2 linked regions of the Danio rerio genome follow. The protein of the gene in region 2 purifies or fractionates together with the protein of the main gene of each other region. This does not show direct contact. Links are inferred from orthologs where the notes say so. Each region holds a gene or a part of one and is shown on either strand. Other genes may lie near its edges.

Region 1 (6,003 bases), on a different chromosome or scaffold from region 2:
CGCAGGAACAGAGATAGGACATGAGGTCAACCAAACAGGAAGTCTTTTTTCCCAACTGTCTGAAACCCAACATCCAGAGATTCACTAGCGCATATTCCCAATACCTCAGAATTTGGCCCATAAATATGTACATTCCAGCGCATGTACATGATTGTGTTTATCAGCACTTCCTCAGGTGATGTTGAAGAGGGGTGTGAATGCATACATATGCATCCATGTAATTGCGCTGAGCGAGTGTGTGTGTATGTGTACTGGTTAACCCAGACTTCCTCAGGAGACGTTGGTAATGGGTTTGTATTTCTTGAGGCGGGTCCATTGCCCAGTAGAGTAGTTCATCTCAAACACTGTGTCCACCAGCATGGTCGTGCTGCCGGTCCCGTCCGCTTTAGGCAGAACTTCTGTGTGCTCGCTCAGCTTGATCTGAATGATGTCACCCTGCTCTGGACAGGGGTTTTCTGTAGAGACGATGAGAAATATGACAATTAAAAAAAGAGGAACCATAGGGTTGTCAACTCATTCACAAAACTGGACGAAATCACAACCAAAATACCTCGTGATCCAGCCATGAAGCCCAGAATGAGGGCTTTTTCGGGCCGTGTGACTTTGTTTGCAGTCTTGAACATTTCTTGTGCAGCATACATCTGTTCCCTCTGTGGGCAAAACAATGCAGCATAAGAGTTTACAGATTGTCACCATACACTACCATTCAAATGATTTGAGGGAAATAAAGTTCATTTTTAAAGAAGTTAAAACATTCATGCTTCTATTAAACTGCACATTGTGGTAACACATTAAAATGACACTTGAATGACCATGTGACAATGAATACCAAGTAGTGGCTCCTGAAATGTAAACAGTCAACACGAGACATCACTCTTTTTTTTTTAAATGTTTGGCTAAATAAATGCAGCCATGGTGACCATAAACAATGTATATTAAACATTACAATAAATATTTAAATCTTTAGGTATTATAGACCTTTTTCTCTTGCTACATGGAACATGCGCCATATCAACCAGCATCTTCCAGTAGGGTGCTTAGAATTTCCTTTTACAGCGTTTACAATTGGAAAATCTTGATCCAAAAATGATTGTCAATACCGTTTTGAGTGGCTTACGGAGTGTTTTTGTGATTCAGAACTTCGATTTTGGCCTGTTTAAGCCATTATGGTGCTGTCAGTTGCGGTGCATTATAGAGCAAAACATATTACTGGCATGAAATGCAACAGGTAGGTAACCTTCAGCTAAGCAATTTCCAAAAAATAAAAGTACATGACTGATACTCTGCTGGCTGATTTGCATGTTGATTATAATCGGGAGCTGTTTATGTTTCATTTTGGTAGTTTGTGTAGTGTAATATTTACCATGGTATGTTTTTCTGTCATTTCAAACATCACTTTGTTTTAACTTTGTGCCACTTGTTAAATCAATGTGTTAGTGCAGGGGTGTCAAACTCAATTCCTGGAGGGCCAAAGCCCTGCACATTTTAGTTCCAACCCTGCTCCAACACGCTTACCTGTAGGTTTCAAACAAGCCTGAAGGACTCAATTAGTTTGATCAGGTGTGTTTAATTAGGGTTGAAACTAAACTGTGCAGAGCTGTGGCCCTTTTGGGACTGAGTTTGACACCTGTGTGTTAGTGGAACAGAACAAAGTGTGTGTCAAACATTTTAGTGAACTGCGTTTGTTTGGCTTGGTTATACATTTGAAAAGAGAAAATGTTTACTTTAGCAATGACGATGCTCTTTTAAATGCTCAAGATGCCGCCTGACGGAAATGGTAAACGACTCACAAAATGTTGTTTTTCCATCCCATTAGATCGCATTTTTCAGTCCAGGAGGCAGTATTTTTTTGTCAACAGCAGTATTAGTTCAAAGATGCTAAAAGCAAGTAAAATGGATTAAAACTATAATTTTTAAGCTGTCTGAATGTGACCGTTTATACGCATCAAGCTGCCGACTGGAAGTTATTAGCATCCTCCTTACGCATACATGCAAAGCATAATGGGTAATTTTGCGTTTTAAGAAAAAGGTTTATAATTGATAGAATTTATACTATTTTACTCATTTAAAAACAAACAAAAAAAAACCCTATCTGGTATGATCAAAAGCAGGACAGTCCAGTAAAGCATTATCATCATATAACTGAAATCAGTTACCGTGAGCGAGAGGTTCTTTTTGGGTTGTGTCTGTGGGGGTGCTGGCGTGGGTGCAGGCTGAGCTGCAGTGGTGGGCGGCTGTGTGGGCATGTCCGGCTGTGCTGCTGTGGCGGCAGGGGGCGGGCCATTGTTTGTGGGCGTGCTGGTTGGCGTGGTGGGTGAAGTGGGCGCGGTGGGACTGGCAGTGCTGGCATTATACATAGGCGGCCGCTGTTTGAACTGGCCAGGTAGTGAAGCGGCAGCGGCACTTGGGGCAGCCGACTCCTCCGACTGTCGGTTTGTAGTTTCACGTCCTGAACCACCTGCGTTCGCTGGTTATTCCAAAGCAAAGACAGAAAAAAGATTGTTAATGAGACTGTAAACTGGCTTTTTATTAAAGAATTGAAATTAAAAAATATTTTTTTACATGTTAGTATAAGTATTGTTAGTTTTAAGGATATCTATAAGCTAGTGTTCTCCAGTGACAAAATTTGCGGTTAGAAGATAAACAGATTGTAGTTTATCACTTCCTTCTAAATAGATGAACAGTTTTTTTTCACATGACCTCATACTTCAGTTTCTCATCAAATAGTGACCAATCAAATGCTCTCTAGTATCTGACATGCCCTCGACCCCTTCAAGACGCTTCATGTTTAATGCACTTGGGCTCAAGTACTCTCACTGGCAGAGCTGTGACAAACTATTGGCTGTTTTATAAAAAGGAGAGGGGTTACATTATGTCCTACCCTCTCATTATATTTCGGTTGAGATTGTCAAACATCTATGACCTTAAACATCTGATTAGCTGTTGTATCTAACTGTACTGTTTAAATTTATTCTTGCAACCCTCACACCTGCATCTCTCAGTGGCTCACCTGGCTGCGTCTCTGAGCTGGGAATATAAGACGATGAAGGAACCATGCTGGGAGTGGCGGGAAGGTAACTGGTTGATGGCAGGGCACTCTCATTGTTTAGCGCCCCAAGTTTCTGTTGAAATGAGGTGAAATTAGAGTTCTGGTCTGATCAGCTTTCAAAGTGTCACTCTTATGGCTGATTTCAAAAGCTACCTGTGTGGAAACCAGGCCAGCTGCGTAGTCTGGTGTGGCGTTTTCCACCACCGCCTCTTCTTTGGCTGCCTTTTCTCCAGCTTCTGTGTCTGAAGAACACACATAAATTATATTCACAAAAACACAATTAATTAGTAGTGATATAGAGTAAAAATTCCACCAAAACATTTTTTGAGTATTTATAAGCAAACAATACTGTATAATCCTGAACCATGGGTTAATGTCACTATTTGCATATTTGCAGTGTCGGCATCACTGACTGGACAAATGTAACACACAACCGGTTTACACATTATACATTTTTGACAATGCCTGATTGTTTTTGATATAATATCCAAAGCTTGTAAATTAAGCTTGTAAACAAACGTGGTGTTTTAAAAGCACCATTGAGAATGATGATAAGCTGATGTTAAACAGTGCGAAAAGATCTCATGTCATTAAATCTTCTTGAACTTACCCAGAGTCTTTCTTCTCCTCTTAGCTTCTCTACCAGCTCCTACCATATCCAACTCTGATATATCCAACAACTGCAGAAAGAAGAATACAATCACATGAGCTAACAGTATAAAGCATATAAAAACATACCATCCCTACTCAGAAACCAAATTCAGTTTGTAAAACCAAATGTCACACACAAAGTTTGCTTTTAAGCATTTAATAGAGAGTAAAAGCTACTGAGATTTATTAACGTTGTTCAGTGACTTTATAAAAGGTGATTGGAGGACAGTTACCTTGACACCTCTCTCCTTACGTAGGGGTGTGCGGGCAGGGGCGATGGGGGTTCTGTTACTGGGAGGGCTGAACATGCTTGGGGTGGTGGGGCTGCGGAATGGTGCTTTGGGAATTCCCTTCAGCGGCGCTGAAAGAAGTAATGAAATTCATTTTTACTATTACGTATTAAGATAAAAGGTTTGGGTAATAAGATATTTTTTCTGTTAGAAACTCAGAAAGGCTAAATTTACAGTAAGTTAGTTACAATCAGAGTTGGGAGTAACTGTTACTGTATTCTAATTATATTTGAGGAACGCAGTGATGTAACGAATTACATTTTAAATTTGTGTAATGATTACAGTTACTAAAGTCAATGTAATTGCGTTACAAATAGAATTTTTAGAAGGAAAAAAGTGCTTCTTTTAAATCACACTTTCTGCTGCAACATCAGTTAATAAGCATGTGCTTTTAAATTGCTGTCAAGAGTAGTTGCTTTAAGTGGAAATATAGACATTTTTTTATTTTATTGAGTGTAAAAACAAATATATTGCTGTGAAATAGTCTAAATTCAGTCTCTTTTGACTGCTTTTAACTCCACCAGCAACTTGTTCAAGTACCTGAATAGATTATATTGCATTCTTTGACAATACTCGCCCAAAAACTCGGCGGCCCAACTCAGTCTAAACAGGCTAAATTAGATTTTTGTGCAGGATCGGGAATAAAGGTATCTTCTGAATGTGAAGTGAAGCGTAGCTGCTTATCGGGTTGTTCACATATCACGTCTTTTGCCAGTTAAAAACAGCAAGTCACGTGACAAGAACTGAACGGTCAGCTTCATATTTTGTATGGAACATACACATTTCAGTAGACTAATTCCCTCAGACAATCACAACAGCTAAAACACTGCAGTGCTTTTTCATACTACGGATGTCAACGGTTACAGGTATCCAGTTTTCTTCTAAATGTCTTTTGTGTTAAAAAAAAGAGGCATACAGGAGTGGAACAAGTGAATGATGAGAGAATTTTAAGTTTTGGGTGAACTCTAAGTCTTTTGAATATGTCAAGCAGCTGTGATCAACGCATTGCAATGTTTTTCAGTGATTATTAAATGAATGTTTTATTAAATGACTATTAAAAAACTTTATTTTGTATTTTTATAGGTATATTTTATGTTTTAAAAGTAACTTCATAGTAAAGTAATTAGTAATCTGATTACTTTTTACATTAAGTATTTAGTAATGTAATCAGATTACAATCTTTCAGTAGTAGACAGTCATTTGTAATCGATTACTTTTTTTAAAGTAACTTACCCAACACTGGTTACAATACTACAGTAATTTGTACTCTGAAATGAAGTATTTAATAATACTTACATTTTCAGAAACACTGTAGAGCAACAATATTGTGAAATATTCTAAGAAATGTATTCTGTTTATAATATAATTATTTATAAAAAAAAAAGTCTTTCTCAAACACGCGCAGACACACATGCTCTGGTGCGCAATCTTGAAAACAGATGTGGATTCCATTTTTTCATGATTCTTTGGATAATAATTTTTAAAAAATAAAGTAAAATAATACATAATCATAATAATCATAACATATGTTTAATAATATAATTATAGAATCAAAAATAATATAATTATTTTTAAATGCTGGAATTCACATTAGGAATAGCAAATGCAAAACAAAAACTTGTCATTGTAAATTTATGCAAACTAATGTACTATTCATATTTAATAAATGAAACCTTATCATAAAGTGTTATATTTTATCTATCTATCTATCTATCTATCTATCTATCTATCTATCTATCTATCTATCTATCTATCTATCTATCTATCTATCTATCTATCTATATATATATATATATATATATATATATATATATATATATAAATGAGTTATTATTTAATCCCATCTAATCTTATATGATATAATGTTATTATTAAACTAATTAAAATGAAACATTATTTCCACCCAAACACTGTGTGAACAGAACTCATACTTGTGGTGTCGATCTTCTTCACTAGTCCTCTTCCTTTGGAGTGGAAGGGCACTCCTGCGGTTTTCTTTAACTGTTGGGCGGT
Region 2 (6,003 bases):
AATATCAAATAAAAATAAAACTGAATAAATATAAGTTTACGCATATTTACATAAGTAAATAAATAGACTCGATGTGCTAAAAAATTTTGCACATGCAGATTTAGTGTGTGGCACTACCTCATTAGTTAAATTATTAACAGATTATTGCACTGGATATAAATACAGCTATTATTATTTATTATTATTATGGACTTTTTTTGTCTAGTTGCAATATAACTTCTTGTTCTTCTTGCCATATAGTAATTGTTTATTCTGTTTTCTTATTTTAGTGTCCAACCTTGACCATGTAGTTCTGGATGAGGATCACTCGGGTTCAAGGAGGTTGCAGAATCTCTGGAGGTGCGAGTACTGCACTAATCACACACTTTCACATTCCTGAAAATAACGTCATTTTAGTTACCTGTTTTTTATCTTTTTAGAGATTCTCGTGAGGAAGCTCTGGGGGAGTATTACATGAGGAAATATGCCAAGTCTTCAGGAGGCGAACAGTAAGTTCAACTGCTCTCAAATCTACCATCTGTCATCTGTCATGAAAGTTGGCAATCGCATGTGTTGGAATTAAAGGAATGCTGGTTTACTGCGTTGGCCTCTCTGCTGGTAGTATTAGCTTCAAATGTCAAGCCAAGCTCCGCCCATGAAACGTGGATTATTACAAATACAGCAAAGAAATTCGCTTTTCTAGAACAAAAAAAAACTTTCACTTCCAGTCATCTCAGTCTAAATGACATTTATGTAGAAATGCATCATCAAAGTAATGAATAAATCTCTGAACGAAGCCTACATACTACATTCATGCATTACTATTACATACCTGTATTGCTGACAGATCATTAAAGATATTGATGATGTTGTAAAAGTTTCAAAGATGTTTGTGAATGAATGATGTGTGATTGTGTGATGGCTGGGCTGTTTCCACACACTTAAACAAAATGTGATTGGTTGGTCAACCTGTCAGTCAAAAAGCATAAAGTAAAGTCCTTGACCATTCAAAGCAGACAAAGTGTCCAGACCTTCAGCCACTATTCTGGTGCTGATTACTAAATCTTTTTGCTCTGTCTTTTCTCTCAGCTTCTATGGTGGCTCTGAGGATCTTTCTGATGACATCACACAGCAACAATTGCTTCCTGGGGTCAAGTATGAAGAAAATCTTATTTATTGATCATTAGACATGCTGAATTAAGTGGACTTGTGTTCAATAGTTTTTTCCCCCGGTTTTATTCAGGGATCCTAATTTGTGGACTGTTAAGTGTAAGGTTAGTACTGGATATGCTTATGATTAATGGGGTTAATGGGTGACTTAATGAGGTTACAGTATGTGCAAGGTTTAATTAATCTGTTTTTTGTCTTTATTTGCAGATTGGAGAGGAGAGAGCAACTGCAATTTCCTTGATGCGAAAATTCGTTGCTTATCAGTGCACTGACACGGTATGTTTTCCATAGTTTCTCTCTCTTCTTTAGACCCATTTAGTTTGTCAAGAAAGTGTAAGTGCCATGGTTGGTGAATATCCGATTCACACAATCTCAGCCATTGGTATATAAGACACAAACTGTACAATCTTCATCCGAGCTTAATAAAGATAGGAGATTAACTCCCCATTTTGTGTATTTAACTGGGGCCTCATACATGAAACATTACATCATGAAAATGTACTTGAAAGTCTTGGAAAAGTCATGGAATTTTAGTAGTAAAAATCTACTCCTTACAATCTTATACCGACCCATGCCTACGATAGATATTAAAGAAATGCTACAGAGTGGAGAGGATATTTAGCATACACATATTTGTATTAACTTTGTGCTTTGTTTCTTTGTACAGCCACTTCAAATCAAATCAGTAGTTGCCCCTGAACATGTCAAAGGTTATATCTATGTGGAGGCGTACAAGCAGACCCATGTCAAGGCTGCCATTGAGGGTGTGGGAAACCTGCGCATGGGCTTCTGGAACCAGCAGATGGTGCCCATTAAAGAGATGACAGATGTGCTGAAAGTGGTTAAGGAAGTTACTAACCTTAAACCCAAGTCTTGGGTTCGTCTCAAGAGAGGCCTTTATAAAGATGACATTGCCCAGGTGAGTACTTGGACATATAGATTATGTATCTGAAAAGGAGTCCCTGTTGTTGATACTGTAATGTGTTCTGGAAATAATTATTAGGTTTGTTAGTCATACAGCTCTGCTTATGTCTGTGATAAACCTTTGATCTGTGTTTTTTTATTTATCTTTTTCAGGTGGACTATGTTGAACCTAGTCAGAACACGATTTCGTTGAAAATGATTCCTCGTATTGACCTGGATCGTATCAAAGCAAGGATGAGTATGGTAAGGTTCTCAATTTTTACAAAAACAGCACAATATATCTTAATATTTTAAAAAAGGTCAAAAATCTTACCTCATGTCAAATCAGCATATTAGAATGATTTCTTAAGGATCACTGAAGATAGGAGATTTATAGGCTGATTTACACTTTCACCTGGATCTGCAGTGTGAGCCTCAACTAAATGCGAGTGCACAGCAAGAAGGGTATACAATGGAGGTCAGAGCCAGCTCCAAGTGGGTGGGACTTGAGCTCCAGTAATGCTGTACAAACCTTCTGGAGTTTTCATTGATTTTACTAGTGGCATAAGTCCCCTCCACTTAGAGGTCTCTCTAGGCTGCAGCCATACCTACTTGCTCACAGCTGCAAGTTGTGAAGGCTTTTATGCTTGATGTGTTAGCTGTTGTACTAATATTTGCAACAATAGGGGGTGACTTGTAGTATCTGTCCTGATGAAACAGTAGTAAAGAAGAAGTCAGTGAGTGGAGTTGCAAAATGAATTAATTTAACTATATATGAAACTAATCAGTTGTGGATAATTTTGGTGGACTCTTGGAAAATGTTTGCTTTTAGTACAGATGAGGAAGTGAGTAACTTGAGCTGCATATATAGACAAGCTGACTGCATACTTAAGGCAAATCCTTTATGTGGTAAAAAATAATAAGCTATTGACAACCAGTGCACAAAATATATGCATTGGTTTAACTCTAAGCTTACACATCAGACAGTGATTTTTGGTTTTCTAAAAGTGTTACACATGCACATTCACCTAGATTGGCCAGACTTGGCTCCAAGTCCGGCATCTTCAGATTACAAGTTACAAAAAAGGTGTTTCACTCTGTCAGCTATAATTATGCAGAGCGCACCCAAAGTGAACATCTGCAAACACCACGATGATATCACATTTGCCGCCCATACCCTAGTGAATTACAGATGTTATATTGAGTGTAAACCAGCCTTAATGATCCTGAAAATTCAGCTTTGTTATTTGAGTAATAAATTACATGGTAAAATATATTAAAATGAACTGCTTTTACAATAATATAGTTTATACGGTTATAGTGCATTTGTAACCAAATAAATTCACCTTAAAAAGATAGTCTATATACATCTTTTATTTACATCTTCTATATTAATCTTTTAGTGATCTGACTCCAGCTTTATTGTTCATCTTACAGAAAGACTGGTTTGCAAAGAGAAAGAAGTTCAAGAGGCCCCCACAGAGGCTTTTTGATGCTGAAAAGATCAGGTGATGTGATTGTAAGCCTCATAATCAAACCCGCTTAAATGCATTATGTGTACTGACACACATGCATCTCTCTTTTTTTATTTTTATTTTATTTTATTTCCCACAGGTCTCTTGGTGGTGAGGTCAGCCATGATGGTGATTTCATGATATTTGAAGCGAACCGCTACAGCAGAAAGGGTTTCCTGTTCAAAAGCTTTGCCATGTCTGCTGTGGTAAGAGCCCTGGGAGCGCTTTCTAGTTCTATCTTATTGCTCCTTATTGGTTCACTTTTTCAACTCCTGTTTGTTTGCATAGATCACAGAAGGGGTGAAGCCCACTCTGTCCGAGCTGGAGAAGTTTGAAGACCAGCCAGAGGGCATTGACCTTGAAGTAGTCACAGAGACAACAGGTGAAGACATCTATATATAAAAAAAAAACAATTACATGTGACATACAGTATTTAAATATACAGCTTTCTTAGTAGGCTAGCAAATATAATTTTTAAATTATTAATTAGATTTAATTTATTTACTGTACAAACTATGGTTTGTACTTGCCAGTAAAAAAACTTGCCAGTAAAACACTCTTCAATATAATCTGTAGTTTTTAGTGCTGTTGTATCCAAAATACCTTTTTCCAAATCAGGGTATTCGCGGGGTCTTAAAAAGTTATAAAATGTCTTACATTTCAAAAACAAAAAAATTTAGGGCACAAAAAGTCTCAAATTCTGTCTTAATTAATTTTAAATGAGTCTTAATTTTCCTGTCCACGTCAAGCTACCCAATCGGGCCAACACGCATCCAGTTACCAAAATTATCAATAGAACTATGTCAATATAACTCAATAGAAAATGTCAATAGAACTTTTAAACTTTTTTTGTAAATCTGTCTTTATTTACCTACAGTATATGATTTAATTATCGTCATTTACAGTAATATTTGTTTTAAAGTTCTCTGTATTTAAAGTCCATATATGGTGTGGACACTAACCTGGACAGACTGGTTGTGCTTGCATTTTTAAGATTTTTTAAATTTCTTTTTAAGATGGGTTGTGTTTAAAAATATGTATAGGGTTTGCTTGTTTTGACAGTTTATTCAAATAGGTGGCTAAGAAATAACTAATTATAATATAATATAAAAAAGTCCTGTATAAGTCTGAAATTTCATTCATAATGGTCTTAAAAATGTCTTAATTTAAGACTGAAACCTGCAGAAACCCTGCAAATATATTTACATTTATACCCTAGAAACAACACCCACACAGAATGTTTAATGCTACATTCAAGTCATATAAATATTTATGTGTTGAAAGTACATGAATGATGGTGTGTCTGTGAGAATACATGTCCAGTGCAATGGATGCAGTGTCTGTTTTGACAGTAAATTATAATGTAGTTGGTCTTTTACACTACAACCCTATATGTGGCATCTATAAAATTGTGTACAGTAATGATTGCAAATATAAACGTTAAATTTTTAATATCAAATCACCACAACAGTTCTTCCTATTTTTAACACTCTTTATTTCTTCTATTTGTAACTCCCGCAATAACAGACAGGGGTCTTTATATACCCTCAAAAAGCCCACACTAGCACACACATTCTCCTTACACATGCGCAGGTCATAAAACATAACAAATAACATCACCTTAAATATTTTATAAACATAAAAAGGAACATTTTGTATTTTTAGTAAAACTACTAAGACATTTTTTAGAGAAGGTACTTTACTGCTTGAAAACATCAGATGTCACAATTAACTCATAAATACAATCTTCCCAGGATTATTTGAAATTTGAACACCATCCAACTATTTATTGAGCAATCTTTGTGAATTAAACAGCTATCTTTCTTTTTTTTTTTTTGGCAGGTAAGGAGCGAGAACACAATCTCCAGGCGGGAGATAATGTGGAGGTGTGTGAAGGGGAGTTGATCAACCTTCAGGGCAAAATCTTGAGTGTGGATGGCAACAAAATCACCATCATGCCCAAGCACGAGGACCTCAAGGTGAAGAAATCGGCACAAGCTGCAGTGTGAATGAAAAGTCAATCATGTTCACCTGATCCTATTAACCTACCGTGAAATGTGTTTAAACATCCTGAAAATCTCATTCTGCATAATGAATCCTTTTTACACTGATTATCTACTTACTGTCCTGACTTCTTTTAGGATCCTCTTGAGTTTCCAGCTCATGAGTTGCGGAAGTATTTTCGTATGGGTGACCATGTGAAGGTCATCGCGGGGCGTTATGAAGGGGATACAGGCCTCATAGTTCGCGTGGAGGAGAACTTTGTCATTCTGTTCTCTGATCTCACCATGCACGAGGTAGGTTTCACTATTAAACTATGGAAAACCACATACAGAAAAAACAACATTGTTTTTTTTTTTTGTCTGAAATGTTGTGCTTCTGTTGCAGTTGAAAGTTTTGCCCCGGGACCTGCAGCTGTGCTCTGAGACGGCTTCAG

The links. The genes of interacting proteins can lie anywhere in the genome.
Region 1: the proteins of supt5h (region 2) and nelfa purify together in Homo sapiens (affinity purification with mass spectrometry; 3 studies listed by BioGRID and IntAct, with this or other methods). This does not show direct contact. The link is inferred for Danio rerio from reciprocal best matches to the Homo sapiens genes SUPT5H and NELFA.

Annotation. Positions count from the first base shown.
Region 1 is NC_133182.1:24,484,173-24,490,175, reverse strand, and holds part of nelfa (negative elongation factor A), read right to left. Parts: coding exon 5,922-6,003; intron 4,062-5,921; coding exon 3,934-4,061; intron 3,730-3,933; coding exon 3,660-3,729; intron 3,292-3,659; coding exon 3,203-3,291; intron 3,123-3,202; coding exon 3,011-3,122; intron 2,468-3,010; coding exon 2,157-2,467; intron 651-2,156; coding exon 551-650; intron 456-550; coding exon 271-455; 3' UTR 1-270. UniProt on the Homo sapiens protein: Essential component of the NELF complex, a complex that negatively regulates the elongation of transcription by RNA polymerase II.
Region 2 is NC_133190.1:22,857,273-22,863,275, forward strand, and holds part of supt5h (transcription elongation factor SPT5), read left to right. Parts: intron 1-269; coding exon 270-339; intron 340-419; coding exon 420-488; intron 489-1,068; coding exon 1,069-1,134; intron 1,135-1,222; coding exon 1,223-1,253; intron 1,254-1,356; coding exon 1,357-1,425; intron 1,426-1,816; coding exon 1,817-2,068; intron 2,069-2,226; coding exon 2,227-2,316; intron 2,317-3,489; coding exon 3,490-3,560; intron 3,561-3,666; coding exon 3,667-3,772; intron 3,773-3,854; coding exon 3,855-3,948; intron 3,949-5,408; coding exon 5,409-5,545; intron 5,546-5,707; coding exon 5,708-5,863; intron 5,864-5,954; coding exon 5,955-6,003. UniProt on the Homo sapiens protein: Component of the DRB sensitivity-inducing factor complex (DSIF complex), which regulates mRNA processing and transcription elongation by RNA polymerase II.